Macaca fascicularis: one gene and its partners. The protein of the gene in region 3 purifies or fractionates together with the protein of the main gene of each other region. This does not show direct contact. Links are inferred from orthologs where the notes say so. Each region holds a gene or a part of one and is shown on either strand. Other genes may lie near its edges.

The links.
Region 1: the proteins of DERL2 (region 3) and SERPINA1 purify together in Homo sapiens (affinity purification with western blotting; 3 studies listed by BioGRID). This does not show direct contact. The link is inferred for Macaca fascicularis from reciprocal best matches to the Homo sapiens genes DERL2 and SERPINA1.
Region 2: the proteins of DERL2 (region 3) and SELENOS purify together in Homo sapiens (affinity purification with western blotting; 3 studies listed by BioGRID and IntAct, with this or other methods). This does not show direct contact. The link is inferred for Macaca fascicularis from reciprocal best matches to the Homo sapiens genes DERL2 and SELENOS.

Annotation. Positions count from the first base shown.
Region 1 is NC_088381.1:162,403,879-162,414,713, forward strand, and holds the end of SERPINA1 (alpha-1-antitrypsin), read right to left. Parts: intron 8,193-10,835; coding exon 7,543-8,192; intron 6,222-7,542; coding exon 5,951-6,221; intron 4,729-5,950; coding exon 4,581-4,728; intron 3,735-4,580; coding exon 3,543-3,734; 3' UTR 3,467-3,542; downstream 1-3,466.
Region 2 is NC_088381.1:86,539,835-86,551,223, forward strand, and holds the start of SELENOS (selenoprotein S), read right to left. Parts: upstream 5,992-11,389; 5' UTR 5,849-5,991; intron 5,789-5,848; exon of another isoform or gene 5,752-5,788; coding exon of another isoform or gene 5,473-5,751; intron 1-5,472. Other genes in the region: PCSK6 (proprotein convertase subtilisin/kexin type 6), read right to left, coding at 5,473-5,751. UniProt on the Homo sapiens protein: Involved in the degradation process of misfolded endoplasmic reticulum (ER) luminal proteins. Participates in the transfer of misfolded proteins from the ER to the cytosol, where they are destroyed by the proteasome in a ubiquitin-dependent manner.
Region 3 is NC_088390.1:5,538,527-5,548,742, reverse strand, and holds the end of DERL2 (derlin-2), read left to right. Parts: intron 1-650; coding exon 651-846; intron 847-1,088; coding exon 1,089-1,179; intron 1,180-3,208; exon of another isoform or gene 3,209-3,360; intron 3,361-6,351; coding exon 6,352-6,457; 3' UTR 6,458-9,833; downstream 9,834-10,216.

The DNA of each region.
Region 1 (10,835 bases), on a different chromosome or scaffold from region 3:
TTTACTCAGGGTCATTCCATTTGTCCTTTTAGAACTGAGCCGGGTTCCTGCAGAAGCTGTCCCTGGCTCTGAGTCCTGCCGTGTGCCTTGTTCACTCCACTGCCTGTGAATTTTCCAACCAAGAACAACACAAAGGCCTCAGCCTTTCAAGGAGCCCTTGGGGTGTTTGAGGTCATCTGCGGGTGTATACTGACCATTTCTTATGCCTCTGGAAAGGTCCCGGGCTGCACCCTGACCCTCTCCACCCAGATCCATGGACGCACGCCTCGTTTATTCACCGTTCCCCACCGCCGTAGATCAGCACTCTCCCAGGGACGGACCTGGGTTTCATCTCTCTATCCCCCATACGCAGCTCCTGTTTGCTTGTTTGTTGTTTGAATAAATGCTGCCTGCTCGGATTTATGGGAGGATCAAGTTGCTCCTGGGAAGGAGATCAATGTATAATCTGTATTTCCCATTTCTGGTGTGAGAACCTAGAAGCTCCCTGACTATCGTCCTCTTAACAAATGGGGCTCACAGGGTGCCCTCTGTCTGGCAGAGCTTGCACTTCAAACCAAGGCTTCCTTTGTTTAGGCTTAAAATCTCAAATTCGTGTGTTCTGTCCCCTGCAAACTCCTAGGTGGGGTAAAAGGTCATGACTCTGAGGTTCCCGGCTGAGCTCGCAGCTGTTTTCCGTGTTTCCCTCTCATCTGTTTCAGAGCAGGATGAGGTTCCTGCCTGCAGTGGGAAACTGACTCGGAACACCCAGGATGCCCCGCAGCTCGGCCTTCAGCTGTTGTTAGAGCACAGCAGGTTGACGCAGTGCGGTTCTGGAGGATGGAGTTTTTATCGTGATCCCATATGGACTGAGGAAGTGTGTGCAGTTGGGGACAGCCAGGCCTAAGAGCAGAGAAGTCCTGCCTTCCAGGCCCACACTGGACAGAGCATTTGACCTGCTGGGCCTCAGTTTCCCCATGTGTACTTTGGGGATAATGATTCCTAGGCTGAGTCCTGCAGGACCTGTCTGGAGGATCACATTAGACAGTGAATGCATTTTTTAAAAAACTCTGGAAGATACAGTGAAGCTGAGGTCTTATGGCTGTTGCCTCATGGACTTGTGACATGTATTTGTCTTCCTCCTAATGAGGTTGTCATGACACTCTGCCCACCCCTGACTGATCCCTGTTGATTCCCACAGGAGCCCAGGAATTCCTCTGGGAGCTTATGCTGGTTTGAATGGAGTCTCTCCCAACCGGACTGTCAACTCGTGTGTGACAGACGATTCTTCAAAGTAAAACGATGGTGTCTAAGGTGATGCCCTCAGCACTGCAGCCTCCTTCCCTGTCCTGGCTGCTCCGGAAAGCCCACTTGTCTTTGACTCTGCCCCTGTTCTCCTACCAAATGCCAGTTAAATAAGAGGAGTCCTGTGGGTCGCCCAAGGCCGCGGGCTGTGTCAACATCTGGTGGATGAGCTTCTGCTCACCACCTTCAGCTCAGGGCCTGCTCCACATTGGGTGGAGGGTGTTTTTCTCATGAAGCATGCTAGGCGTGAGCTGTGGGCCACCAGCAACCCTTATGGTTTAAGGAGGAATTAGCTCTGCAGAAGTTTAGCATGACCCTCGAAGGGGAGAGTGTGGTGAGGTGGTGTGGTTCAGAGGAACGAGTAGCCCATCAAGCCAGCTTTGCCACTTATGAACTATGTGACATTGTGGGAGACCAGCAGCCTCTCTGAGCCTCAGTTTCCTCATATGTAGATTTGGAGTTTAAGAGCACAGCGGATCTACTCACACATCACAGTGCTGCTACAGTTCTTAAATGAGAAATAGCCAGGGAGGTTCTTCACAGGGATGTCTGATTCACAGAAAGCTCATAAATGCAAGAAATGTAGCTCTATTTATTCTCTGCTCTAATAGGTGTAAACGGTGTTTTATTATCTGACTTGAACATCGTACCAGCTCAAAGGCAGGTCTTACTGGCCACGGCTGTGGCTCAGAAAGGTTTGGCGACTTCATGAAGGTCACACAGCTGACAGGGGGATACCGGTCTTCAGACTCTCAGGTCTGGTGTCATCCTAGGAGGCTTGGTGACGGTCATATCTTTAATGTATTTGTGGAGAGTGAAAGGCTGTCACTGAGTAAGCTTAAGAGAACAGGAGACTTGTGTGGGAAACAGTTGGTATCCATTGATTAGGCTGAATCATGTTGAATTGCTAATTTCACCATTTTGAACTACAAAAATCACTATTTGGTTTGACTCAACCTCATCCTTTAAGCACACATTCATGACAGTGAGTGATTAGACAGGGATTCCAAGATTAGTTTGGGATGGGTCAGTGCCTTCCACAGGACAAGGCAATTCCTGGTAGAGACAGAGGGAGCAGCCTGTCCTTCAGCTGGGGGCTCAGGGGACCTCCTGGCTGCTGTGCCCTTTAGCAGAGCCTTGGAGGATGGAAGGACTCTCCTGGCCCTTACCACAAGGGCTATTCCGGAACAGCCTCCTTCCATGGCACTGGAGCTGCGGCTGCCCTCTGAAGACTGCAGGGACAGCAACAGGCACAAAGAAGTCAGGCTGCATGTGGCCCCAGTCAGGACTCAGGGGAGAAAGAGAGGGGTTGCAGGGGTCAGTGGGTGCTGTGCTTCCTCTCCCATAGCTGGGGAATCCTTGCGATGGCCTTCGTGAGCCATCAGCAGGCCTATGGCCACATGACTAGGGAGGAGAAGGGATATAGGGTAATGGTCTTGTGGGGACTGCTGGGCCTGGTTGAGTCTGAGGAGGAGATAGAGAAAAAGAAGCAGAGACCCTCCTCTTCATCTGAGGAGAAGGGACCTGATTCTAAACTGAGACATGTGAGGCTTTATGGGGCAGCGATGGAAGGACAAGGGCAGAATAGGTGTCCTTGTCGCCCCATGGAGAATGGGCTTCAGGAGGAATCTGCTTCAGTTGTTTTCCAGAAGTGCCCAAGAGGCGCCGGGCCCAAGCCTGGTTAGGTGACAGTGGGACAAGAAGAGGACACGGTCCTCTCTCTTTTGTTGTTGCAGATGCCACAAAACAGGGCTAGGGCATGGTCAGGCAGTTCTCGGGCTCCCAGGAGGGCAGCCTTGGGGTGGGCACAGGCAGCCCTGGCAGGATGAGGAACTCTGGGTGGCGGGGAGTGGGGGATGAGCAGGGGGACATGAAGATGCTTGGAGGAGCCTGGGGTCATGGGCTGGTATCTGATTCCTCCCCTGTGATTCCTTATTAGGGACTCCAAGACAGGACAAGGAAGACTGGAGCTCTCCAGAAACAGATGGGCCCAGGTCCGTAAGCTGAGGATTCAGCCCCCTCCATCCTGGCCCAGCATATGCCTGCCCAGCCAGATGCTCCATGAACACAGTTGAGGGGGTCCGGAGACAGCACTGTGACCTGGAGCCCACACACGGCCTCAGCAGGCAAAGGAAGACCCAGAGACAACATGGGAGGGGTTTGCAGTCACACACGCAGGCAGGGACCAGCTCAACCCTTCTTTAATGTCATTCAGGGAGGGGGCCAGGGATGGAGGGGAGGGGCTGAGGAGTGACAGGCAGTTATTTCTGGGTGGGATTCACCACTTTTCCCATGAAGAGGGGAGACTTGGTATTTTGTTCAATCATTAAGAAGACAAAGGGTTTGTTGAACTTGACCTCGGGGGGAATAGACATGGGTATGGCCTCTAAAAACATGGCCCCAGCAGCTTCAGTCCCTTTCTCATCGATGGTCAGCACAGCCTTATGCACGGCCTGGAAGGGAGAGAAGCAGAGACATGTTCTAAGGCTGAGTTGTGCCCCAGCCCAGGCCTGGAGCAAGGCTCACGTGGACACCTCCCAGGAAGCGTTCACTCAGGCCTTTCTCCCGCTGCACAGCCCTGGCCCTGCACATCCTCTCCCTCCCTGTCACACAGACCTTGCTCCTCCTCAAGGCTTTGGCTGACAGGGCTGGCTCCCCTCTGTCTATCTTCCTGACAAGCGCCTATGCCCCTGCTCAGGGTGCACCCACAACTCAGAAGGGGAAAGAGCATCGCCACTCCACGCCTGTCTCCAGGGCTCTCTCCTTTCTAGCACACAGCTTGAAGCTCCTCGAGGACATGGACCCTGACAGTGACCTTCACAGTGCCCAGATCCCAAGACAACGCAGCCGTTCACGGAACTGCAGTTGTTCTTTGGTCACCTTTAGTTTTCCAAAGGAAGAGTCATCTTTAGCTGACATCATTCATTCATTCAGACACCAAATCTCACAGATCGAAGGAGTCACAAAGTCCTTTGAAACAACTTAGCCCAAACCTTTCTGTGTCAATATGGATAAATCAAGGCCCAACGTCTAGAAGGTCCTGGGCAAAGATGAAATTCGGGGTCGGTGACACAACCTCAAGGGAGGCCCTGAAAGTGCCAGCAGCACAGCAGGCCCCTGCCTGGCTTTGCCGTCTGACCACGTCCCGCGTCAGTGAATCACGGGCATCCTCAGGAGCTCAGCCTCGGTCTTCATTTGTTTCCCTTGGCCCCTTCCTCAGCCTCAGGACAGAACTGCAGCCCCCATACATCCTTCCCTACAGATCCCGGGGTGCAACAGGGTCATCAGGGTGATCTCACCTTGGAGAGCTTCAGGGGTGCCTCCTCCGTGATCCCCGAGAGGTCAGCCCCATTGCTGAAGACCTTAGTGATACCCAGGTGGCCCAGGACTGTCTTCAGATCATAGGTTCCAGTAATGGCCAGTCTGGGTAAATGTAAGTTGGCAGACCTGCCGTGCAGAAAAGAAATTCAGGGCATGGCACAGCATTCCTCTTGTTCTTCTGGGACCCACCGCAGTGCAAGTGTTTTCTTTTCTGATTATTTCTGCCACTTACTCCTGTGTCCTCCACCCACTCTAACATGGGAACTTGGCTTTGGTTTGTTCTACTATTAGCTCTTCTACACTGAGTCAAAGAATGTTAACATCAAATGAATCATGAAAGCTTGAAATGCCACCTCCTCTGAGATTCTAGGTGTACTGGAAGCATGTCTCATCCTGCCCTGTAGTGTTTGGTCACTGGGCCCCCAGCCTGAAACATCCCCAGGGCCCTATACCCAGAGGAACATGGGCTGGTGGCAGTGCCACCAGAAGACTGACCACACCAGGCTGAGTGCTCCCCTCTTGTTTTCCATGGGGAGACAGAGCCGCCCCGAGCAGGGTCTGGTGTGAGCGGGCAGCCTGGCTTTGGGCTCTCTGATCAGTTACCCTCTCAGCCTCCTTGTTCTTTCTCAGCCCCTGGAGCAGGGACCTCAGGAGGTGCTGGCGTGAAACAAAGAAATTCCAGCCTCAATTCCTATTATGAACCCAACACCTTTTGTATTTTCATCTTGGTTTTACAGTGTACAAAATAAACTAGATAGGAGGGCATGGGCATAATTACGAATGCACACAGACACACTAATGTGTGACTCATATTGGAGTATCATTTACTACAGGGCACCCAATCTAACAGCACCGATAAAGTGACAGAGAAACTCAAGCCTTTTGCTAACATGCCCTGGCTATTCCAATTTTGAACCTTGCTTTTCTGGGCCTAGCCACACAGGCTCTTCCCCCATCCCCACAGGGACAGTCTACCCTTGAACTCCACACTCCACTACTGCCTTTGCCAGGAAGCCCATCTGTTCCCTTTTGGTTCTGCCAGAACGTGTGGTGGTGCTGCTGTCCCTGTCCTGGGCACTGGATATTGGGAAGGGACAGTGTCCACGCTGGAGTGGGAAGTCCCCAAGGACGAGACCTTTACCTCCTCACCCCTGGGTACTGTCCTGCTCATGGAGCATGGCCGGTGCCACCTGAACTCAGTGGTGGCCTCATTCTGGAAGCCAAGTTTATGCAGAGTAGCAGTGACCCAGGGATGTAGTGTTCACCCTCTCCGACCCTCTGGTCAGTTCTGATGGGCCTCAGAAGAGGTGTGGGCAGCTTCTTGGTCACCCTCAGGTTGGGGAATCACCTGCTATTTTCATTTTCCAGGAACTTGGTGATGATATCATGGGTGAGTTCATTTTCCAGGTGCTGCAGTTTCCCCTCATCAGGCAGGAAGAAGATGGCGGTGGCATTGCCCAGGTATTTCATCAGCAGCACCCAGCTGGACAGCTTCTCACAGTGGTAGATGTTAAACATGCCTAAACGCCTCATCATGGGCACCTTCACGGTGGTCGCCTGGTCCACGTGGAAGTCCTCTTCCTTGGTGGCCTCAACGTCAAAGGGTCTCTCCCATTTGCCTGGACAGAGAGGGTAAGGCGGGCATCAGTAGGGGTGGGTGAAGGTTTGGAAGAGTGTGGCAGAATAAAGGAGCCATCAGTCCCCTCCCTGAGAAGCCCTGAACCCCCTTGACGACACACATCCCTCAAGCCTCAGCTTCATCATCTGCAAAAGGTGCTGAAACCAACCATCCAGGCTGCCAAAAAGGTCTGTGTGGAGATAATTCAAAACTAGAGGAAGATGCAGAATTTCTACATCGCAGAGATGTAAGGCTAAGAGATGCCATCCTGACTGTGCATTTTATTGGAATCGTATGTTTATTTGAGGGTGTCTTGGATATTACAAATAAAATGTTGGAGCATCAGGCATATTTGTTACCTCCTGTCTAAGGCTCCCTGCCTCTTGTTAATTGGCAGCTCAGTTATTCATTCAGGGCAAACATTCTGCTTACTATTCCTGAGGGTTTTCTTTATCCCCTGGATTGGCAGGGGAAATGCAGATGCCTGAGCAGCCTCCCCTCTGCCATGCCAAGAGAGCTTCACCATCGAGGCATGCAGAGTGGACAGGGGCCTCAGGGACCCCGATCCCAGCTTTCTCATTGGACAGAAGGAGGAGACTGGGGCTGGAGAGGGACCGGGGCCTGCCCTAAGCCACAGCAGAGCCAGGACCCCAGTTGTGCTGACTGCAGCCTGGCTGCTCTCCACTGCCCTCCTTTGCCTCAAGAGCACCCCTCAGGGGCAGGAAGGCAGCCTGAGATACAGAAGAGCCCACCACCTACTGCATGCCACACTTTTCCCAAGGTGTTTGTCACTTGTTTAATCCTAAAAAAAACCTGACAGCAAGAATGGTATTTTGTCCATGCTAAGATGGGAAATTAGCACCTCAAGGAGGTAGAATGCATTGTTCGGTGTCAAAAGCTAATAGTGGTAGAGGCAGGATTTGAACCCAGGTCTTTCAGACTGCAAAACTGATACTGATTCTGGGACACTAGAGTCGTCTAAAGTACGTTCCATGAAACTATCCCTATATGCAGTATATTACAATTTGTTCTATAGTTCTAAGCATTATATATTCTACATATACAGTACACACAAGGACATTAAAGGCTCTGGAAAGTTCTGCAGAGCTGTCAGTGGTTTTGACAATTTAATCTATTATTCCCTCAAATTACTCAATGATGGAAAACATTTTAGTGTTTGTGTGTAGAAAATTGAAGAGCCCACACTGACATGCATTTCTATAGCCCATAATGCATTGCCAAGGAGAGTTCAAGAGATGATGGTTTGAGAATATTTTTGGTTGTTTCTATGGGAACAGCTCAGGCTGGTTTTGCAACCTTACCTTTAAAGAAGATGTAATTCACCAGAGCAAAAACTGTGTCTCTGTCAAGCTCCTTGACCAAATCCACAATTTTCCCTTGAGTTTCCTTCTCCACGTAATTGTTGATCTGTTTCTTGGCCTCTTCGGTGTCCTCAAAGTTGACAGAGAAGGCTTCTGAGTGGTACAGTTTTTTGACATCCTCCAAAAACTTATCCACTACCTTCAGGCTCTTGTTGAGGAACAGGCCGTTGCCGGTGGTCAGCTGGAGCTGGCTGTCTGGCTTGTTGAGGGTATGGAGGAGTTCCTGGAAGCCTTCATGGACCTGAGCCTCCGGAATCTCCGTGACGTTGAAATTCAGGCCCTCCAGGATTTCACTGTGAGTGTCAGCCTTGGTCCCCAGGGAGAGCATTGCAAAGGCTGTAGCGATGCTCACTGGGGAGAAGAAGATATTGGTGCTGTTGGACTGGTGTGCCAGCTGGCGGTATAGGCTGAAGCCGAACTCAGCCAGGCTGGGGGTGATCTTGTTGAGGGTTGGGTGGTCCTGATCATGGAGGGATGTATCCGTCTTCTGGGCAGCATCTCCCTGGGGATCCTCAGCCAGAGAGCCGGGGAGCAGGCAGCACAGGCCTGCCAGCAGGAGGACGCCCCATGAGACAGAAGATGGCATTGTCCTGCAAGACAGAGACGGGGGCCAGGCCCCGAGTCAGGGCACATGATGACTCCCAGTGACCCGGGATTGACACCACGTGGAAGTGCCTAAGGCTTATTAAACCAGCCTGTGCCAAGTACTTGCTGACATCAGTAACACTGAAAGAATCAGAAGAATAGCAAAATGTATGTAGTGCTTACCATATGCCAAGCACTGTTCTACGTGCGCACATGTGTTAACTCATTGCTTTCTTGTAACAATCCTGTGAGGTGCTGATGCTACTATCCTTCTTTTTCAGATGAAGAAACCAAAACCAGAGAGATTAGGTCACCTATTCAATGTCACTGAGGAAGTAAAGTAGCAGAACCAGAATCCTACATCTAGGTCCTGCGCCCAGGCTCTGGACAGCTCCACTTACATCTGCAATGACCCTAAGATGCAAGTGGTACAGCCACTGTTTTACAAAAGAAGCAAATGAGGCATAAGAAGAGGAATGGGCCTGGCCACGATTATCCAGGAATCGGGCCAGATCAGAATGAAGAATCACGTCAAGCTAGAAGCCCTTGGAGGGCTTCTATCTAATCCCACTGTTGAGTGGCCAGGGACACTGCTGCACAGAAGGGAAATGCATCTTGCACAATGGCACCAGCTAGAGCATGGTGGGGCTGTGATTAAATCCCCTGGGAGCTGTTCCCCCCCAACACTCACAAGGATCCTCAGCCCTTAGGGTTTTTTCCTAAGAGAGGGGGCTGTCCCCACAATGCTCTGTGGTCCCAGCCACAAGAATAGGCTGATGTCCCTGCAGTCAGCTCACCTGCCATCTGGATCACCAATGGTGTCCCAGTTCTGGGCTCTTGCTGTCAGGGACTTTAGAGAAGCTCATCTCTCCTGTGAAGCAAGGCTTTGTGCTGCTTTAAGGAGATGGGGGTGGTGGGAAGTGAAAAAGCATCTCTTTTAGCTTCAGATAGACCTGGGATCTAATCTGACTCTGTCACTTTCCAGGTGTATGAGCCAGGACACGTCATTTATCTCCCTGGTCCTCATTTTGCCTCATACATGAAGTGAGGCTGTTGGAAGAATTTAGTGAAATAAGTCTAGACACCAAACCTTACATCAAAAGGATCTGAGAGGGCAACCCTTTTGAGGGAGGGGTTGACAGGTGTTGCAAATTCAAAGCCTTCAGGTGATAGTCCAGTGAGGAATACATGTTTCATAGCTGGGGCTGAGACAATAGGGAGTGGTGGGGCCTGTGGCTGAACCGGCGAGAGCAGGCTCTGCTGAGCAATGGTCAGAGTCAGTGTCATCCACAGCAACGCAGAGCCTGCCATGCCCCACAGTGCTCCTTCTACTCCAGATATGCCCAGACTTCGGACCATCAATCTGCAGCCCCCTAAGTAGAACCTGCTGTCTACACAGATGGGAAAACTGAGGTCCTAGCTGAGGAGAATATGCCTGGCAGCCACATAGTTAACTACTAGTCACAAAAGTAAAATCATCATCTTAACAAAATACAAAGAAAAAGGTGTCCTTGAATTTGGGAAATGAAACACTGGAGAAAAAAGTTGGAAATAACAAATATTGAGATTCATTGACCCCTGGACTGTTAAAAGTTTCTTTCCAGTAAAGCAACAAAATGAAGCCTAAAGCTGGTTTCTCTCTACCACCTTTCTCCTGGCCCTCTTGCCTCTAAGTAATCCAAATGGAACGGACCACACACTACATAATACATGTTTGTATTTTTCTTCAACTAGCTAGTGTTGTTAGAACTGAAGACGGTGCTAAAATTAGTGCTGTATATTTCCATCTCCCTTAGGTTTCTCTTTCACTTCCCAGCTGGATTTTGTGCAGTCCTTCACGGTTTATGGAAATTCCCCCATCATTACAGGGCTCAGAGGTCAGGAGGGAGTTGGGCCTCTGCAGGGTGGGGACACTAAATACGCTGAGTGGCCTTAGGGCCAGAAGTTGTGGCTTTAGTCCTGGCAGGGCCACCACTATCCATTTGGCCTTGAGTAAGCATCCCCTGGTCCTGGGGCCTCACTCTCCCCAGTTGTGCAAAGTGGGGCTGGGAGAAGACCTCACTGGGGACCTCTGTATGCTAACATAGGATTTTTTTTTTTTTTTTGAGACAGAGTCTCGCTTTATCCCCCAGGCTAGAGTGCAGTGGTGTGATCTTGGCTCACTGAAACCTCTGCCTCCCGGGTTCAAGCAGTTCTCCTGCCTCAGTTTCCCAAGTAGCTGGGATTACAGGCACATGCCACCACGTCTGGCTAATTTTTGTATTTTTAGTAGAGACGAGATTTCACCATGTTGGCCAGGCAGGTCTTGAAATCCTGACCTCTTGATCCGCCTGCCTCGGCCTCCCAAAGTGCTGGGGTTACAGGTGAGTGTCACTGCACCCAGCCAGGATTCTTGGTTAGAATGGCATCTGGGTTCGATGTAGCAAAACAGATGGAGAAGAGGCACCCTCCTAGACAGGAGGCTGCTGGGCTCGAAGGAGGTGGCGAGGCTGGTGCAGGGAGGGTGGAGAGGGGGTGACAGCTGGGAGGAGCACAATTCCCCACACCCATCCATCTTTCCTGGCGTCACATCACCTCCTCTGGTTTCCTCCTTTCACAGTGAAGAGTTTGAAGCCCAGAGAGGGTCAGGGCCTTGTCGAGGCCATACA
Region 2 (11,389 bases), on a different chromosome or scaffold from region 3:
CTCTTTAATGTTTTATGTGTATCTGTGTATATGTGTATGTATATAGGTATATATGTCAACATACATGTGTTTATATATTATGTGTGTGTATATATACACACTTGTATACATTACCATATGTAATATACCCCAATACAAAGAAAAAAAAGTACAACATATCTAGGCACAATTTTGTATATAATCCATGTATACATACACACACCCACACACATAAGCGTGTGTTGTAAAGTAGTACACTGCAGATAAAGTTTGAACTTCCTCTCCCCTCCTTCCCTTCTTGGAGGCCATTGCTAACTAGAATTTGATGCAGATCCTTACATCCCACACTTTTATACTTTTACTACATCTATAAGCATCCACAATACAGTACAGATGTGTGGTTTTTGTTTGTTTGAGACAGAGTTTCACTCTACTCTTGCCGCCCAGGCTGGAGTGCAGTGGTGTCATCTCAGCTCACTGCAACCTCCACCTCCCAGGTTCAAGTTATTCTCCTGCCTCAGCCTCCTGAGTAGCTGGGATTGCAGGTGTGCACCACCACGTCCAGCTAATTTTCATATTTTTTTAGTAGAGACAGGGTTTCACCATGTTGGCCAGGCTGGTCTCAAACTCCTGACCTCAGATGATCCACCTGCCTCAACCTCCCAAAGTGCTGGGATTACAGGCGTGAGCCACCGTGCCTGGCCTGTTTTGTGTGTTTCTTAACGTTTACATGAATATGATCACATTGGACATCTACAATTTGCCTTTTTTCTCTCTCAACATTATTTGAGAGATGTATCTGTGTAGATATAGATCTGCTTTATTCATTTCTAACCACTGTAGAGTCTTGTGTGGTGTGACTATTTTGATTTAGTTCTCTATTCTACTTTAAGGAAGGTAGGTTTTCCCTTCATTTAAAAAATGCCTGCATGGACATTCTTATACAAGTCTCCTTGTGCACATGTGCGAGGGTTCTTCCAGGATATGTCTAGATGTGGACTTGCCGGTGCAGTTCAGCCTCACTGTGTATTGCCAAATTGCTCTCCAAACTATACCAATCTCCACCAGCAGCATCTGAAAGTTCCCATTGTTCTATATCCTTGCCAGCACGTGATGCTAACACTCTTCCATGTCGGGCAACGTGACAGGTGTGAAATGGTATCTCATCATTGCCTAAATTGCAGTGCTCCAATAACCCCTAGCGAGCTTGAGGGAAGCTGGGCATCATTTCTTATATTTATTGGTCATTTGGATTTCTCTTCGTTGACTTCTCTATTCATAAACTTCCCCATTTTTCTACCTGGCATGTATCTTTTTTTCTGAGTGATTTATAGTTTTCAAAATAATCTGTGTACTAATCTGTTTGTTACATATTGTAAATACTTTCCCAGTCTATTACTTGCTTTTTAACTCTGTTATGATGCCTTTGTTAACATAGAATTTTTATCTCAATGTATCAATCTCTTCATTTTAAAATTTGTTTATTTTCATGACTTGTTGAGGAACTCCTTTCCCAATGTGACAAAGGTATTCCACTGTATTTCTTTCTAAAAGTTTTATATACATATAAAAATTACTGACAGAGAAACAGTAATCCCATCTGGAATGTACTGTTGTGTAATGTGAGGATCCAATTGTTTTTCCACGGGGAGAGCCTGTTCTCCCAGCACCATTTAGTAAATAGCCCATCCTTCCCCATCCATTTATAACTCTTCAGCTCACACGCACAAGTTCCCACACATGCTTGGGTTTGAGGGGACTCTATTGATGGACTGCGTCCATGTTCAGCTGTTGTCGTTACCACAACTCCCCTCCTCCTCTTCTTTCCCAGAGTTGTCTGAGGTATTCTTGGACCTTACTCTTCCATATGAACTTTATAATTCATTTGCGTGATTTCATATTCCACATTAAAACTTGTCATGGCTTAAACTAGATTACATTGAATTTGCAGATTAAATTGGGGCAACTATGAGAGCAAGTTCTCCCATACACGAACACAACACATCTGTCCCTTTATTTAAAACTTTTTTTTTTTTTTTTTTTTTTTTGAGATGGAGTTTCACTCTTATTGCTGAGGCTGGAGTGCAACGGCGCGGTCTCGGCTCACCACAACCTCTGCCTCCCGAGTTCAAGCGATTCTCTTGCCTCAGTCTTCCAAGTAGCTGGGATTACCAGCATGTGTCACCACGCCTGGCTAATTTCTGTATTTTTAGTACAGACAGGGTTTCTCCATATTGGTCAGGCTGGTCTCAAACTCCCGACCTCAGGTGATCCGCCTGTCTCAGCCTCCCAAAGTGCTGGGATTACAGGTGTGAGTCACCACACCCGGCCTAAACTTTCTTTTCTCAGTCCTTCTTCTAAATATTTTATGTTTCTCTATAAAAGTCTCACCTTTTTAAAAGACCTATTTCAAAGTATCTTACAGCTTTTATGCAAGAATGAAGAATGGTTCTTTTATCTTCTCAGATGTGCTGCCATGCAGGTAGCTGTTGCTGATCAACTCCCTTATTAGCTCCAGTGGTTAATCTCTAGGTTCTTTTGGATTATCCATGTAGTTATGTCATCTGCCGATAATGACACTGGACACTTCCACATTTTTATTCCCTTTGAAATACTGTGGTGTTACCTGGAATGATGAGTACAGGGACAAAGAGAGGCTATCTTGTCTTGTCCCTGGGGATGCATATTTTACAACGGAGAGGATCCACAGCCCTTATCAGATGTTGAAAGGGAGCCAAGACTCAAGAAAGGTGAATAACCACCAGTCTAAATTACCTCTGGACCAAGTAAAATAAACTGAAACCAGTTATTAGTTGTATGGAAGAAAGTAAAACAAGCAAGCAAGAACTTTGAGCACAGCAACTATCTGGGAGAAAACCAGGGCTGTGATTCAGGCAAGTACAGAACATAACACTAATTGCCCATTAAGGGCTTGGAGAAAGAGTTTCACAAAGGAGATCTCAGACCAGAGAATACAGCAGAAGAAAATTGAGCAGGGGATGGAACTGTCAGAGGTGACATATGCATACCATGTGAACACAAACAGCTTCCTTCGCTTACTTCACCCCCATTTACTCATCTGTAAGTCAAAGCTAATAATATCTACATCTTATTTATGAGTCACAAATTCTCCTGGCTGAAAAAAAGGCAAATAAGGTTTTCAAAGAGTTCTTATTGAGTGGGTAGAGGCTCAAATGCTCCGGGCCTTTTCCACATTAGCAGTGCACTTAGAGAGGGGAAAGAAAAGCTTGTTTTGGAATAAAGAGTAATATGCCCTCCGTGAGTAATCACACACAAGCCTCTGAGACAGCTCCTATCCCCAACCAGCTAATCCCTGTGTTAGTGAATGTCACCACAGTGCCACTGCCAGCACCATGCCTGAGTGACCAGGCTGCGTGGCATTCATCCTGGCTGCACTGGACAGAGCTGGGGAGACCCCAATTGACTCCCCAGAATATCCTGGGTAGGGAGTGTGCATCGGAGGGAATCTTCTCTCCCATGAGCAAAATCAGGAGAGCAGGCTGCACATAAAAACTCAGCAAGTCTGACAGAGGTTGTCTCGAAGGGCCGGCATGGCCAAGGGTTAGGCATTTCTATTCCCACAGACAGATATTTCCGGGGAGAGTTACCTGTGCCTCTCTGCCTCTCTCTTGCAGTGTGAGCTCACAGCTCAACTTCAGCTCCATTCTGCTCATTTAATTTTAGGATCCCAAAACCCAGGCACTTTGTAATTTATCATGTAGCTTAAGTCACTTTTAGCTGCAGGCAAACTGCTGGGCCACCTGGGCACAGCAGCAAAGTGTGGCAGGAGCCAGGGGCACAAAGCAAACATGAGGAACGCCTTCTTCAGCCTGGACAATCAGCCAGGGAGAGTCAGGAACTACAGAGACGAACGCAGTCAGTGCTACTCGAAGGCAAAATCTGAAATCACAGGATGTTTGGAGGGATTTCAGTGGTTAAAAAAAAAAAAAAATATATATATATATATATATGGATATACATGTGTGTATATGTATGTGCATGTATATGTGTATACATATAACATTTTATATATACATATACACACACACACATATTTTTAAAAGGTCTCCAAAGATGTGCTAGCATTCTTTCAGATAAACTCGAACGTGCCTTGCGAAGATTCTATCATTCAAATGGTAGAATCTACCCCTCCAGCAGGCCACACACCTAACAGCACATCAACGTGGGGCTTGGGATCCAGAAGAAATGTCATTTCTATCAGGGACGCCACCACACCTTGCTGGCTTCTGCCACGGATAATGATGAAACTAAATTTAACACTGCCTGGCACTGAGGTTTAGAGTTATGAGTCGGCGCTTCCCTGTCACTTCACTTAATCCTCTGAGTGTGTAGTTTGTAGATTTGTTAACTGCACTGAGAGGTCCCCTGGTGCGACCCCAAACTGATGGCCTCTCCAGGAGCCATAAATCTGGATCAACCCCAACTCACCACCCCTCAGCCCGGTAGCTGGTTGAGACAGGAAAAAGGCACCCGCCGGGCGGTCCTTTGAGGGTAATGCCGCCTTTGTGCCCAGGGTGTGGCCTGCTTACTAACTGACAGAAGAGGTGACAGCCAAGCCCGTGGGGTGCGGGGCTGAGAGGGCTCCTCGCTGGCCCCGTGGGGGCCGGTAAGGGTCAGGCCCCGGTCCAGGCTCTGTGGCAATGCAACATTAGATCTTTCCGACAACCGAACAGTGTAGACATTGCCACTAACTGCAAAGGAGCATGTCAGGGAAGTGACTCGCCAAAGGTCACACCGCTCTGCCATCGGAACTGCCGCAGGAGCCCACAAACAAAGCGCCCTCCCTCCTTTCCTGGAGAGGTTTTAAACCCAGGACCCCCAGCCCTACGCTGTCCCAAAGCCTCTCCGACGGCGGCCGGGCTCCAGGGTGCAGGCACCCTGGTCATCTACCTCCGGAGCGGCGGACACCGAGGCAGCGCGAGTCCCCCAGACGCCGGGCCACGCTCATGTCACCCAAGCAGCGGCCGGCCGCCTTGGCGCGCACACAGGGTCCAGAGCCCGCGCTGCCCGTCGGGGGCAGAGGGGCCGCTCCTCCGCGGGGGAGAGCTGGGTGGGCGCTCAGGACCCAGCGGCGGACGGCGCGCGACGCCCGAGACAGCCCAGCCTTCCCCGGAGCCCGGCAGGTGTCCGCGCCGCCCCAGCTTCTGAGGCCACACTTCCGAGCGCAGGGTTGGGAGGCACTGCCCGGGTACTTGCGGTCGGCGCGCCGGATCTGCGTGGGCGCCCACGAGGGACCCCGAGTCCCCCCAGCCGAGTGTCCCGCGCACGCCCTCCCGGGTGACCCCCCCCCGGCAGGGCGCCCCGGCCGCCTGCAGTCCCCAAGCGGTCCCGGAGCCTTCCCACGCGCGGCCCGGCGCCGGGGCCGGGCGGACAGGACTGCGGAGGCTGCCCCCTCGCGCGCGCCAGAGGCCGCCGGGAAAGTTTTCGGCGCGCGGGGCCGGCCGCACTCACCTGGCCCAAGTTGAGGTAGCCGTGCGCCGCGGCCACGCGGTCCGCTTCGGCCGGGCCGCCCAGCACTTGCACTGCCCAGTGGTTGGTGTAGACGGGGCGCGGCGGGGGCGCGGAGCAGGCGGCAGGCAGCGCCAGCAGCAGCAGCCAGCGCCAGGGACGCGGCGCGAGCGGCCGGAGCCAGGGCCCGCCGGCACCCCCCGCGTTCCCTGCGCCGGCGGTGGCGGCGGCGGCCCGGGGCGGCGGCCGGGGCCCGGGCGCAGGCAGCGCGCGCGGAGGCATAGCGGCGGCAGGCTCGCGCGGCGCCCGAGCTGCGAGTGCGCCGGGGGGTGGAGTGCCGCCTTTTAAAGCCGCTCCGCGCCGGGGAAGCGCCGCCGCCGCCACCGCCGCGGGCGGGAGCCAGGGAGGAGGAGGCGGCCGCGGCGCGTTCCCGCCCGCGCGGCCCGGCGGCGCCCCCGGGCCCGCGCTCCTGCGGCCGGGCTCCGGGGCCGAGACCGGTCCGGGAGGCCCGAAACGCCCCCCACCGGGGGAACTTCTCCGCCGACTTTTGGGGCTCTCGGGACGCAGGACCGGCCCAGCGGCGGCCTCGGCCCCGCGAGTTCTGCTGGGAGCGGGGAGGCCCTGGCGTCTCAGGTGAGTCCCCTGTTCCCTAGACCGGCCGGACACCCGGAGGCTGCACTCACCTGGCGGGGCCTCAGACGCCCGGCGGCCTCGCCCGCCTCCCTAGACAGAGGGCTTGCCAGTGTGCAGGGTCCCAGGGAGAAGAAGCTGCCGGGAAGACACTGGATCGCCCAGGACCCAGCATGGCTGAAGGGGCATGTTGAACAGGGCAAAGGCATGTGGCGAATTAGCCGGGCTCACGAGCATGTACCCGAGAAACCACCGCACAGAGCCCATCTGGGCAAATGACTGTCCTGGCTGAGGGCAGGTGCCCCACCTGTAAAATGGGGGGAACAGTGGTATCTACCCCATCGGCCTGATTTGAGGATGAGGTCCGCTTTTGCTGTACAATAAGCTGTCCATAAACGTTCGTTTTTATGAGCCCAGGGCCTGCCTTGTGGTAGGTGTTCACTAGATGATGTACACTCTTAGAAGCACCCACTGAGCTGGGACCAGCAGTGGGAAAGTGAGTTGAATCATCCTCACCCCTGTTGCCTAGAGCAGCCTGGTATCCAGTGGATAATGATTTGAAGTACCCTGGAGATGTATGGAAATGTTCCATGACCAAGGAATTATGAAGGGTAAGGATCGCTGCTAGATCCCTTCTGTCATCCCTCCCAGGACCCATTGGTCCCACTGGCCCACTTGCAGAAAGCAAGCCATCAGCCTGCTTAATACAGGAAGTAAAACAAAAAGGTCGAGAAGGCCTTGAGGTGGGAAGGAAGCTGCTTCTCTGATGCTCAGTTCCAGGAGCAGTCTCCTGTTGAGCGTGCAGGATTCACTTGGAGTCTGTGGCTTGGCAGCCTGAGTTGAGAGGCTGGGGCAAGAGGGGATGGGCAGAGGACAGGATCTGCATAGATGGTTTCCGAGGTCCTTTCCAGCCTCGCTCTCAGGAGCCCTTTGGTTTCGTAACCCACATGATTCATCCTTTCTGCAGGTGTGAGTCACCCCTAATGGAGGTGGGAGAACAGGAGGCGTGGTGGGAGGCCCCATCCCAACAAGTCACATGCATGTTCACAAGGGCTCCTGCCAAGGGCCCATCTTGGAACCTGGAGATCAATGTCCCACACGGCCTTCCCTTTGCTGCTCTAGATGCAGCTTCACCTCCCTGTGTTCCCCTGGCAAGTGGGGTCCGCTGCTTGGGCAGTCACTCTAGGTCTGTCCACGCTGCAGAAGACAGCCACTGTGTGTCCCTCCTACAGATGGACTGGATGCTCACCAGCCCCTGCCAATGGAGAGACACGAGGCCCTCATGCAAACTGGCAGCCCTAGAGGAGAACCCACCATACCTGTTGGACAGAAACAGTACCCAGAACCCTCAGTCTGCCTCTGCCTGACATGGCCCTGGCTGCCTAGCCAACTGGCCTGTAGAAGAGGGATATTGGCCTGAGTCAAGGGGACAGAGTTGGAGGCATTGCATGGTCACCTAGCAGCAGTATGTCTGGGCAACATGTGTTACCTCTCTTCCCCTTCTCCTGCCGGCCAGATATCCCTCAGATTCATCCTGGATCCGGTACTGTTCTTCTTCGAGTATATGGCCTGCTTCAAGATAATGTACACTGCACATCAGCTAAATAATTATAAAGCAGCTAGTGTCTCCCAAGACGGAGCCCCCGCAATGTCAGTGATTTTGACAGGCAGAGGTAAGGGTGTTTCCATAATAATGTGGTAAATTAAGGGATTCAGCCTGATGTACTGAGGGAGACTAAAATGCATCTGAATTTTTATTTGGAGAGATCTGAATTTATTTTATTAACAAGTCTGGTCCTTTTGGGCTGAACTTTCCATTTGTCATGGAAGTGCCCTAGCAATATCTTGACTCCAATGTTGTAGGAAGACCACCTTCCCAAAATGAACATCCTAAATCAAATCGCCTCCTGTGGGTTTCCTATTGATTTACACGGTGACAGGATTAGCTCAATCACAGGAGTACCAGCCCTTTTCATTGTGATAGGATCTGTAATAAAACTTGGCTAGTCGTCCTGCAGGGAGGGGATTTATTACTCAGTCAGACTCTGGCTCTCCAGATGACCCCCGAGATCTACATAGCTCTGTGGGGAGGGAACGGGATGCTGCTTCCCTAGATTGAGGTCTTTGAGCCTCAGGAGGGACAGGACATGGACCCGAAAGGTGATTGGAGCCTGGTCATATTTCGGAAGTTTTGTGATATTTATACTAACATCTTCTAAAATCAGAAAAGAGGAGAAGACATTGAATGATGTGTTCTCATGCCCACCAGTGATCCCTTTACAGCAAGTACAGGGTTATCCAGCCAGAGCCCAGGAATACCCATACAGCCAAGACCACTGGACAGCAAGAGCCTTTGCGCAGCCTTCTAGGGTGGGATAAGACAGACTTTGATGCAGAAATTACCTCTGTGTAGGGAATAGACGCTTTGCTGAAAAATTGCATTTTTGGCAATAATGCTAGGTTCAGCAGGCCAAAGTAGCATCCTTTGAAAAATGTCTGATGGATACCACCTTCAGGATACCAGAGATGAGCATGGACTCAAAGCCCAGCTTTGTCATTTACTCATGTGCAGCCTCAGTAAAGTTGCTTCAGTTTGCCCTACTGAAAATACTAGTAACACTGCTGTCCCCATGCAGAGGTGCTGTGAGGACGACAAGAGCTGATGTGTGCAGAGCCTGGCACCCGGAGCCTGGCACCAAGTCAGCACTCCATAAATAGTGGCAACAGTGACCACTGCTAACCAGGAGCTCTCCAGTGGGATAGAGTAGTTAGGGCTGAATACTCTGACCTTCTCTGGATGAGGGCTCACTGTCCTCATCTATGCCTGGGTGCACATTTTCTCGCATTTTAACATCCCCAAATCAAGAAACATCTCACAATTAGTGTTTTGCAATCACTACTGGCCTGGGCTGAAATTGAGTTCTTTCAGAGAGGGTTTGTGTTTGCTTCTGCCAGTGATCTGGGGACACAACTCCTGAAACTCCTTGGGGATCTGCTGAATGGTGTGACCCCAGAATGAGAACCAGCTTATGGTTCTAATGATCAGTGCAGGGCATCTCTCCCTATTTCTCTCTCCCCTCGCCAGGGCCAAAATAGAAACCTGTTGATTCCTTGCTGTTCCTCTCCATGGCGGGTTTATTTCTCATTTTCTTCTGTACTGACAGTGGAGTCTTTCTTTTCTTGCCTGCCTGCCTGCCTGCCTGCCTGCCTGCCTTCCTTCCTTCCTTCCTTCCTTCCTTCCTTCCTTCCTTCCTTCCTTCCTTCCTTCCTTCCTTCCGTCCCTCCCTCCCTTCCTCCTTCCCTCCTTCCTTCGAAGCTTCCTTTTTTTCTGAGACAGAGTTTCACTTTTGTCACCCAGGCTAGAATGCAATGGTGCGATCTCGGCTCACTGCAACCTCCGGCTTCTGGGTTCAAGTGATTCTCCTGTCTCAGCCTCCCAAGTAGCTGGGATTACAGGTGCACACCGCCATGCCTGGCTAATTTTTGTAATTTTAGTAGAGATGAGGTTTCACCATGTTGGCCAGGCTGGTCTCGAACCCCTGACCTCAGGTGATCCACCTGCTTTGGCCTCCCAAAGTGCTGAGATTACAGGCGTGAGCCGCCACGCCCAGCCGACAGTGGAGCCTTTCATTGCTCCATCTTTAGGGAGGCATCTCCTGTGAGACTTTCCATCTTGGACATTTTTCTTTTCTTAGTAATACGTTAAATAACGACACATTTTCCAATTGAAGGTATCTCTTAGATTTGATGACATATGATACTAATGCCTTCAAGACATATTGCAGTAAAGAAGCTTGTTGAATTCTTCCAAATATATTTGCTATGTCCGTGTATGTGTGAGTGTGGCATCTATTGATATACTACAGAAAAGGTACAGAGAGTACAGCATTTTTCATGAAAATCTGTTTTGAATCCTCAACGAGGTAAAAGCTTTTTCAAAGTAATTGCCTGGCTCATTTGAATTTTCAAATACCACATTTCTATCGGGAGAACCCTCAGATACTTTGGGCCAGACAGCACTCAGAGGCGAGATACCAATGGGATTTACAGTCATTCCCTAGACCTGACAGTGCTGCTTGAGCCCAGATAAACACCCACGGTCCCCAGGAACAGAAGGTGTGATGCAGGTCACACACAGCCAATGGGCCTGAGACATGGAGAGCCCAGGGCAGACTAGACCTCTGCCTCCCACCAGCCCCCTTCCGCCATCCCCGAGAAACCTTTACCCTTGCCCAGGTTTCTACAAACCAGGGGTTTCCCCAGCCAGGTCCTCTTCTCTCCCTTTCACACTTTTCTTTGCCCTCCTTTTTACTCACTCCACATCCCACTCACAGCTGCTGCCCCTAGCAGTGGTGGGTCAGGGGCTTTTGCTCCCCTGCAGCTCCACGCTCTGCGTCCTTCTGGGCTCTGCCTTCTGCTCGGTGTTCACAGTTTCTCAGTGGTCTCTTCAGTATCTGCTCATTCATGTGACCATCTGGGGTGGGGAGGGCATGGAGCAGCTCCCACTTGACTCTCCTCTCTGCTTAAACTCTCTATATCTAGATCCTAGTTCTCTTAAGAAAGAGCCCTTGAAAACTGCTTCTTCTGTGAATCAGTTACCCTGGGTCTAGCAATTATGTATCCCAGTGTTCCTTTCCTAAACTCCCATGTGGAAATTTAGTGTCAAACAAAGAATTTAGGGGCAAAAAAGCTGAAACTCCCTGAGAAGCTCTTCCTGACTAAGAATGAGAGCTTGGCATTCATCTCGTTTCCCTTTTCACCTCAGCATCTGGGAGGCTCAGAGCCACATGTGACAGAAAAATCATAGTTCTTTATTTCTGCTTCGCTGCAGTAGGTAAGATGCCTTTGGTTACAAAATATGAGAATGCCCAACTGAAATGAATGTGGACAATAAGGACAATTCATTATTTTGCAAACAAGAATTTGGTAGTAGGTGGATCCAGGGTTGTTAATTCAGCAGCTCAGTGATGCCGGGACTCAAGATAGCTTTTCTATACTTTACTTGCCTTTCTCCTATTCTTAGGTGACTGCCACAGATCGGAGGATCATATCCTCTCAATACAGCCTCCAGGGAAGAAGCACAGGAGCGACTTTCCATCTCTTGAATGTCTTCTTCTCCCTGGGGAAGAAGCACCTAAATCTCCAGTCCACTTCCTCTCAGGCCCCACCTACCAGATCTGGGTCACAGCCCTCCCCCCCGCCTGCTGCCAGGTAATCATAGACAGGGTGAGCAGGGAGGCTCAGGTTGCTTTCAAACAGTCTTACCTCTTCTCCTGGGGAACACTCCCTG
Region 3 (10,216 bases):
AACAGATAAAAGTAGATCTCCAGATCTTAGCTTCAGGGCGCTATCATTTATTTTACAGCACATTTTCTGTGACAAGTTTCCAAGCCTAGCAGTCGGACAGGAAGAGCAAGTCACAGGAACTTTTAACCCAGGTGGGTTCCTGTTAAGCATCTCAGTTATATCATTGCTGCTTGGCGTACTTCACTTTTAAACTAAGTTGGTAAGACATTTACTTGGTGGCTTTCAAAACCAATAAATTATTTTTCAGAAAAAGAATTTTCATCTGCACAATAGACTTAGATATGGTACGGTCCGACAAGATGGTTTTATTCCAGCTAGCTTTATTCACCTCTGTAAAGGTGCTAATTGTGAGCAAGCTTTAATATAATTATTGAACGAAGAATTAACACATTTTCCAAAGAGGCAAGAAACTTCACGAAAGCAGAATTATTTGTTTGAAGTAGCTGTAAATCTCAATAATTTAGCCTAAGCAGATTTTTGCCTGATTGCTCTGGGTAATTATTTTCTGGGTTTTTTTCCTTCTGTTCTAAAGATGTAACAACTTGACTTTTCCAATTCAAACTTTTGTTAGAACACAATCTTTAGTTCTCCTGCTCAGTCTTCCCTATTAAACTTTTCATGTTGATATTTTCCTTAATGTCATCTGCTAGCTTTTTGGTCTGTTTGTGAGCTTAGTTTTCTTGGGCCAGGCCTTTACAATAATGCTCGTCTACGTGTGGAGCCGAAGGAACCCCTATGTCCGCATGAACTTCTTCGGCCTTCTCAACTTCCAGGCCCCCTTTCTGCCCTGGGTGCTCATGGGCTTTTCCTTGTTGTTGGGGAACTCAATCATTGTGGACCTTTTGGGTAAGGCTCTTCTCACTATTTTTTAAGTCATTTTACCTGTAAAAGTATTTTACCACTATTTTTCATGTTTATTCTGTTTGGCCTTCATGTATTACCTATTGTAAAATACTACAATATTAGTTCATTAATTTTTAATAATTATGTTGACATTCATCCTAAATGTAGTCGATTTATGTTGGTAGGTCTACCTGCCATCTAAATTTTAATTCTCTCCCTCATCCTTTATTTCTGCTTGACTCTAGGTATTGCAGTTGGACACATTTATTTTTTCTTGGAAGATGTATTTCCCAATCAGCCTGGTGGAATAAGAATTCTGAAAACACCATCTATTTTGTGAGTATTTTAACACCAGGTTACATACTCTTACAGGCAAACCAGGACAGAGGGCATGATCTGTGTTTTCTTCGGCTCCCCTAGCTCCTAGTACACATAGTTCAGGTCAGTAACTATTTGCAGATTGAGCAGTCTGGCTGCAGTTGAAGAGCACTTGGATTGGGTAGGAGCAGACAGTGCCAGGGTTGTGGCAAGAGCAAGGTTAACAGGCTCAGGATATCTTGGGAGTAACCTGGTAATCGTTGTTCCAGATGACCACTAGAACTTCCTATTCCAGGAGGAGCCTGCTGGTTTTATGAAAGCCACTGTCCACGTTTAGTGAAGTAAGGTAGCAAAATGGGCAAAACTGATGAAAGTTTCTGATGGTGGACTTTGTGGCCTGCTGAGCAGGTGGTTGAGATAAGAAGTGAAGCAGAGTGCAAATAGCTTTGGACTGGAAACCAGGTGTAGCTGTCCCACTGACCAGCCATAGAGCAAGTCCCTTCTTTTTTGCAATTCAGTTTCCTGAGGTAGAACTTTGATTTCTTTCTTTCTTTCTTTTTTAAACATGGGGTCTCGTTCTGTCACCTAGGCTGGAGTGCAGTAGAACTTTGATTTATGAGACCTCTTTCTACTCTGGAATTTGGTATCCTTGGGAGATGCCATATTAAAAAGGGCTCAATTGAGAAGTGAAATGTGAGTTTTTGTTTTAAAATGTTTGTTGTAGACTAGTTAAGCAAAAAGAAGAAACTGAAATTGTCCACACTTGGGTATAGCAGTGGCTATCATTGTTAACTTTTCAGTGTGTATTCTTCAGTCTTTACTGTCTGTACTTTCTAAAAAACGCTGAGCCAGTCAAGGCCATAGTGCACTATGACTGAGCCTGTGAATAGCCACTGCTCTTCTTGGGCCAGGCCTTTAACATAGCCACTGCATTCCAGCCTGGACAACATAACACATTCCTGTAATCCCAGCACTTTGAGAGGCGAAGGCAGATGGATCACTTGAGCTCAGGAGTTTGAGACCAGCCTGGGCAACGTGGCAAAACCCCATCTCTACAAAAGCTGCAAATGGTGGCACATGCTTGTAATCCCAGCTACTTGAGAGGTTGAGGTGGAAGGATTGCTCGAGCCCAGAGGGGTTGAGGCTGCAGTGAGCCAAGATCGCACCACTGCACTTTGGGCTGAGGGACAGAGTGGCACCCTGTCTCAAAAAACAATTTTTGTAACCTTGTAAACTTAATATGTCAGAATTGTTTTTTCCATCCTAAAGTGTTATAAAATTATAACAGGTGATATTCCATGGTGTGGATATGGCATAATTTTACTAATCCCTTATTGATGGACATTGACATTAGTGCTCGGTTTTCTCGTCTATAATTGGAGTGGTGAATATCCTTGTAGCTAAATCTCTGCACACATCCATGATTATTTTCAAAAGATAATTCCTAGAAGTGGAATTGCTATTTTGTTGCCAAACGCCTTCCAGAATGGATGTTCAAGTTTACATTTCAACTAGCATTTATAACTGTTCATTTCTGCACATCCTCATCAAACAAGGGAGACATTTTATTTACCCTTTCCTAGTTGAATAGTTATAGGATGATGTCTCATTGTTTATGATTTTTAAAAAATGTTTTGAAACAATTTCAGTCCTCCAGGAAATTACATATGCAGTATAGGGTCTCACTCCATTGTCCAGACTGGAGTGCAGTGGTATGATAATAGCACACTGTTAACTCAAACCCCTGGGCTCAAGTGATCTTCCCGCCTCAGCCTCCTGAGTAGCTGGGACTACAGGTGCACACCACCAACCTCTGCTTATTTTCTTTCTTAAATATTTTTTTTTGTGGAGACGAGGTCTCTCTATGTTGCCCAGACTAGTCTCAAACTCCAGTCCTCAGGTGATCCTCCTGTCTCTTGGCCTACCAAAGCACTGAGATTACAGGTGTGAGCCACTACAGCCCACTTTTTATTTTGTTTTATTTTTTGCAATTGTTTTCTGGCACAACAAGATATACCAGGCTCATCCTGTGCTCTCCTTGATCCAGTCCTAGAATCAGCTGTTTCTTCAAGGAGCCCTGGTTCCTTTAAAGTGGAGAATGGTATTTAGAAGCCAAGATCTGGGTGCTAGATGTGCTCATTGCTATTGGAGTGTTGCTATTCCCAGATCCTCTCAGTGAACAGAGCAGTGGAATTGTATGTATGTATGATAATGTATACAAATGTATATTTTTAGATCTATGTATTTTTAAAAACATGGGTTTATACTATACTCCCATTTCTAGTACTACCTCATGGTTCGTTCTAGCTTTTTTCCTATTTGTTTCCTCCAGTATTTTATTATGAAAATTTCCAAACTTATAGGAAATCAGAAAAAAATTGGAGTGAGCTTCATGTAGCCACCACATAGATTCTGTAATTAATAGTTCCCTATTCTTTTTGCACACCTATCCCTACATCTAGCTTTCCAATCCAAAATGTATGTGCCATTATATGTATACTTAATTCCTTGTATACTTGAGTATGCATATCAGTAACTAGAGTTCAGTATTTATGTGCAACAAAATAAATCTTGAGTATGTCAACTGAGTTTCTATAAATGCACACTTCTGTGTATCTATCAAGACAGAAAATTACCATCAATCAGAACGTTCCCTGATATCCTTCCTTGTCAGTCATTGCACCTGTCCCCCAAGAAGCAATTGCTATTCTGATTTTGTTCCTCTATAGATTAGTTTTTCATGTTGTGCAGCTTCATGAGTAGAATCGTACAGTATGCATGTACTCTTTGGTAAAAGGCTTCTCTCATTCAACATAATGTTTTTGAGACTCATCTGTGTTCTTGTATTTATTGGTAATTTGTTCCTTTTTATTGCTGAGTATTATTTGGTTGTGTGAATGTACCACTGCTTTCCATCTGCCCTTTCCATCTGTCCTAACCTGATTCTTATTATGATTAATGTTTTACCTACCTAATTACCCCTCATATGTAACCAGTCTTTTGTGATAGTCTCCACCTCCCCCATATGGATGCCTTGCTCGTCTCACTCACCCTCAGATTCCCCAGACCAGGCTGCCCTCTTACGGGGATGCCTCCCCACCCTACTCAGGCTAACATCTCGTCGGGCCACCTCCATGTGTGCATGGTCTGATGGGGCTCTTGACTCCCTATACCAGGCTGTGCCCCCACCCCCATCCTGCTAATGTTTGGGCAGTAGAAGGGGTCTCAGTTTTGTTTTTGTTGTCATTGCTAAGGATTCTCACTCTGTTGCCCAGGCTTGAGTTCAGAGGCTCAGTCTCGGCTCACTGCAACCTTCGCCTCCCAGGTTCAAGTGATTCTCCTGCATCAGCCTCCTGAGTAGCTGGGATTACAGGCATGCACTACGACACCTGGCTAATTTTGTATTTTTAGTAGAGATGGGGTTTCGCCATGTTGGTCAGGCTGGTCTTGAACTCCTGACCTCAGGTGATCGGCCTCCCAAAGTGCTGGGATTACAGGCATGAGCCACCACGCCTGGCCGGGATCTCAGTTTCTAATGTACTTTCCTTTGATTATTGTGAGAGCAAACATTCTCACGTTTATTGACCACATGGATTTCCTTTTTGAATTGTCTATTCAGCCCTTTGCCCATTTTTTTCTGTTGGTTTGTTTTTATTGTTAATTCATAAGAATTTTAAAAACTCATTTTGAAGTATAGTTTTTCTGACTCCAGTATAAATTAGAAGTTTTCAAATACATTTCTAATTTTATCAACTGTGGGGGATTACAAGTAGAAATATAAGTGCAAATTGAGGATGCTGCTTTAATGGTTCCTTCTTTAGTGAGGTTTTGAATTACTACATCCTAGTACTTAGAGAGTCTTTTGGACATTTACTATCCCCTCCTATGTTCTGCAGTAATTTTTCTTGGGATACCTTGTGAATTTTTCAAAACTTTTGTAGTAAAATAATACCTAACATAAAATTCACCATCTTAACTCATTTTAAATGTTCAGTGGCATTAAGTATATTCATACTATTTTGCTGCCATCACCACCATCCATAGAACTCTCTTCATCCTGCAGAACTGCAACTCTGTACTCATTAAACAACTCGCCACCCCAGCCACCACCATTCTGTTTTGTTTCTCTGAATTTGACTACTCTATGTACCTCATAAGTGGAATCATACAATATTTGTCCTTTTTTGTCTGGCTTATTTCATATTTCATTTAGTGTAAAGTCCTCAAGGTTCATCCATGTTGTACCATGTGTCTGAATTTCCTTCCTTTTTTTTTTTGAGACAGTCTTGCTCTGTTGCCAGGCTGGAGTGCAATGGAGCAATCTCAGCTCACTGTAACCTGTTCCTCCCAGGTTCAAGCGATTCTCCTGCCTCACCGTGCCAGGCTAATTTTTGTATTTTTGGTGGAGACAGGGTTTTACCATGTTGACCAGGTACAGTAGCTCATGCCTGTAATCCCAGCATTTTGGGACGCCGAGGTGGGCAGATCACCTGAGTTCAGGAGTTCGAGACCAGTCTGGCCAACACGATGAAACCTCGTCCCTCCTAAAAATACAAAAATTAGTTGGGCATGGTGGCGGGTGTCTGTAATCCCAGCTACTCGGGAGATTGAGGCAGGAGAATTGCTTGAACCCAGGAGGTAGAGGTTGCAGTGAGCCGAGATCGCACCACGGCACTCCAGCCTGGGCAACAGAGCGAGACCCCATCTCAAAAAAAAAAAAAAATTCTGTAATATGTATGTACCATATTTTGTTCATTCACCTGTTGATGGACACTTGGGTGATACCTTGGTTATGGGGAGACATTAATGATAAATATGTGAAAGTCAGCTTACAAAAGTAGTGTGATCTAACTTTTGTAAAATTACATAATGTAAAAGTTCCCAAAGAATAACTGAAACATTGACAATAGTTACCTCTGGGAATTTAGGATATTTTGCTAATCTCTTGTTTTCTCCTTCTCTATAATTATTATGATTTGAGTTGCTTTTCTAGTAAAAATCAGTGAAAGATAAAAGCTAATGTAAATGTTAATAATTATAGATGCTCTTACAATATGTTGACTGTTTAATTGGCAGGCGGGTGTAGTGCTTACCTATGGGTGGAAACCCTGTGGGACCTGAACTGACCTTGTAGTACTTTGGACCTGAGATGACTCTGGGACCAAATTATATCTGTTGCCTGTCTTTTAGGAAAGCTATTTTTGATACACCAGATGAGGATCCAAATTACAATCCACTACCTGAAGAACGGCCAGGAGGCTTCGCCTGGGGTGAGGGCCAGCGCCTTGGAGGTTAAAGCAGCAGTGCCAATAATGAGACCCAGCTGGGAAGGACTCAGTGATACCCACTGGGATTCTTTTATCCTTTGTTGCAAAAGTGTGGACACTTTTGACAGCTTGGCAGATTTTAACTCCAGAAGCACTTTATGAAATGGTACACTGACTAATCCAGAAGACATTTCCAACAGTTTGCCAGTGGTTCCTCACTATGCTGGTACTGAAAGTGTAATTTCTCGGAGCCAAAAAACTGGAGAAACAAATATCCTGCCACCTCCAACAAGTACATGAGTACTTGATTTTTATGGTATAAGGCAGGGCCTTTTCTTCCTCTTGATAGATGAGGCCATGGTGTAAATGGAAGTTTCAGAGAGGACACAATAAAACTGAATTCCATTTTTCTCTCACTGTATTAAAGCTTTTGTGTGTGATCTTTTAAATTCTGATAATGTATTGTAGCTCTCCTGCGTAGATCTGAGCTCAGAACAGTTTACACAGCTGTTCTTCTGTGTCTTCACAACTTTTAACTGGATTTCATTTCAGGATTGGAAATACGTGGCTGTCATGCTGTGGTTGTGTACATCTTACTAATTCAGAATGCAAGATTCACCAGGAAGATGATTTATTTCTGTCATCTGGATAGGTTGTTTCCATCTGGGTTTTGCAAAACTGTCAGACAACGTGGAAAAAAAGGAGGGAGGATGCTTCTTGTAGCAGTAGGAATTCAGCTATAGGAAAGTCAGCTGTAAGCTAATGTGGCATCTTATTTGCTTTGCTTACATTTCTCCATTAAGAAGTATCCAGGGAAAGATTGCTAAGGGCCACATTTTTGGAAAACTAGGAAGATTTTCATTAGACTTTTTTTTTTTCTTTTCTTTTTAAAAAAGTTTTAATTAAAAAAAATTTTTTTTTTAATAGAGATGGGGTCTCACTGTGTTGCCCAGGCTGGTCTTGAACTCCTGGACTCAAGAAATCCTCCCACCTCAGCCTCCCAAAGTGCTAGGATTACAGGCATGAGCCACCCAGCCTTTTAAAAAAATTTTTTTTGCCTTTTTTTTTTTTTTAATTAAAAAAAAATAGAGACAGGGTCTCAGATTTTCATTCGATTTAGAAAACAAGTTAGAATGTTGACTTTGGAGCCAGATGAACCGATACCAGTTAGCCAGGCACATGTTCTTCCAGGGTCTTTGGCTAGGTAACATTAGTGATTTGCTTCATGAAAATTCAAGAACCTTTTCAGAACCAAGTACCTAGATTACCTTCCCAATCAGGTAGAACTTAAGACAGGGTCCGCAGAAGTAGACACTTAATGCTGTGGTTCAATAAATACCTCCCCTAAGTATTAAGTCTTCCCTGAGTCTCAGCAGGTTTGCATTCACACTGCTTAAGTAACTCACAGAACCTGGAAGAGCACCGCTAGGAAAGAGATGATTCCAAACAGCTTTCATTAACAGTGTGTATGCACCAGTCCCTTTCCCAAAAGTGGACTGTTAGTAGTAGTTCAACCTTTGTTAAGGGGTAGCTTTCCAGAATGTGAGATTGTCCTCAGAAAGACAGATATAGGCTTAAACATAACGGACATCCTAAATAGGAATTTTCAGATTGTTTTTGAAGTGAAAAGTGTTTTAATGTCTTTAAATGGAATTGCGTAACTAATGGAATTTAAGTATTTTACATGTTGCTAGTAACTTTGAATATGATTGTTGCAATTTTATGGAACCTGGGTCTATGGGACTGCTTTTTCTTTAAGCAGTTTAAAAAAGGTTTTTAAAGTTTAAAAGCCAGTCTTAGCATGTATAATCCTTACGGGATTCTTAAGTTTTATCCTCTTGTTTTTGCTCAAGAATGCTTTATCAGTGACGTTTGTTTTGTTTTTTGTTTTTTTAAATTGTTTTTGGGCTAGAAATGAGTTTCTCTAGTTTTATTTGTTCTCCCTGAGTTGAGTTATGCAATGAATGGCATTTTTGTGGTAAAATGCTGATCCTAAAATCTATTCACTCACTGTTCATTTAAGTAGGGAATATCTGTATACGTTAATGACTGGGTAAAACAGGAAGTACGTTTTGAATATACAGCCTAAAGGCAGGCAGTTACAGGGTTTTTTGGTTTCTCTGATTTTATAGGGTGCAAGTTCCCAGTGGTAGGATGCCCTGCTGTGCGACTACACTGTGTCCTGAGCAGTGTCACCTCTCATCAGTTTGGCCAGCCCTACAACCACCATGCCTAGCCCTGTGTTGCTTGAGAGGATACCTGTGCTGGAATGGACATAAGGAAAAGTCCTTACTTTCCCCCCAATTTACCTCTCTCAATCTTAGTTCTTCCAGAACACACTTCCCTTTCCCAATGCAAATAAACTAAAAGTGAGATTTGATACATAGAATTTTGTGACCAACTAACCTTACACATAATTTGAGGGATTCCTGGATTCTTCCAGTAATACTGAAAAGCACACTTGACTAAAGCATAGTGTTTTTTGTTTGTTTGTTATGGAAACATGGTATACGTTCATTTAAAAATAAATGGACATACAAATTGCATCTCCTTAGGAGATACATTTTATATACATTTCGGTGCATTTTTTCTAGTATGGATTTCTATTTGTTTCTCTCTTCCATTTGTTTTTTTCTGTGTCACTCTTGTATGTCCTCTTATCTTTCATACCTCTTGTGTAGTCTCTAGAAGCAGAACACCCAAGTCCTGGGTCTGGATAATGAAACCCTCTGTCTCTGGGGCCTCTGAAAATAAGGAAGCATTGGAGCTATTGCCATGTTGAGTAATGGGCTTCCTAGAACTATTGTCATCTATCCTGCCAGGGTTTTATGTTGTAGCTGTTTTTCTTTGACAGGTGAGTTCCAGCTATGTTGTTAGTCATGATCCTGCCATTATTTTCTGTGTTCTGTAGGATGTCTCCAGACTACTTAAACATATTTTATGAGTTTGCAATAAAATTGTTGAATCTTGTATGATCAAGTCACTCCTCTGCTCAGAAATCCACAGTGACTTCTTAGTAAGCCCCTATATTATATGCATACTTGTTTTTTTCTTAACTTTACTTCCACTTCTACCTAACAGGGACCTCAACTTAAGTCTCTTCAGTTCTTCCAGGCCTGGCCTTGTTCCTGATTGCTCAAAAAATCTTGACTCTAAGGCCAATTTTATTGTCTGTCTCTGAATCCCTATAAAGCTTCAAGTCTGTATGACATATTCTTACGCCAAATTACATATTGTCTTGTACTGTTCCTAGCTGGTACATGTATATTAGTCTTGTCTCCCTCATGAGAATGTAAGCTCCTTAAGGGCAGGGACCATGTCTTAATTTTTGTATCCACCACAGTGCCTAGCACAGTGCTTGGCACATGGGTGCTGAATAAATACCTTTGTTTATTGATCAGCAAAGTATTATCTGGTATTTTTAATTATACAGGGATTAAAGTGTATGCATGCAAGCTTGAGCCTAGTTGCTGAAGCTTGTGGTTGTCTCTGAAAATGGGATAGAGGGAAACTGAACATGATCAAGGGCCGTGATTTGGTGGTCAGAAAAGCAAAGGTGACCACCAGCTGGTATGGTCATGATCAGACCAGCTAAGTCCACAGACCATCCCAAAGAAGTTAAAAATGAAATGTATCTGACACTTCATCTTTTGGAGGAAGAACCAGGATATTCTTTGAATAGTTATTAGGTTGTCAGTATCTACATATGAAAGCTGCTAAACCCCAAGAGACTTCTTTAGGAGAAACAGCAGATTTCAGTCTACCAATGGGAGAAATGTGGGCAACAT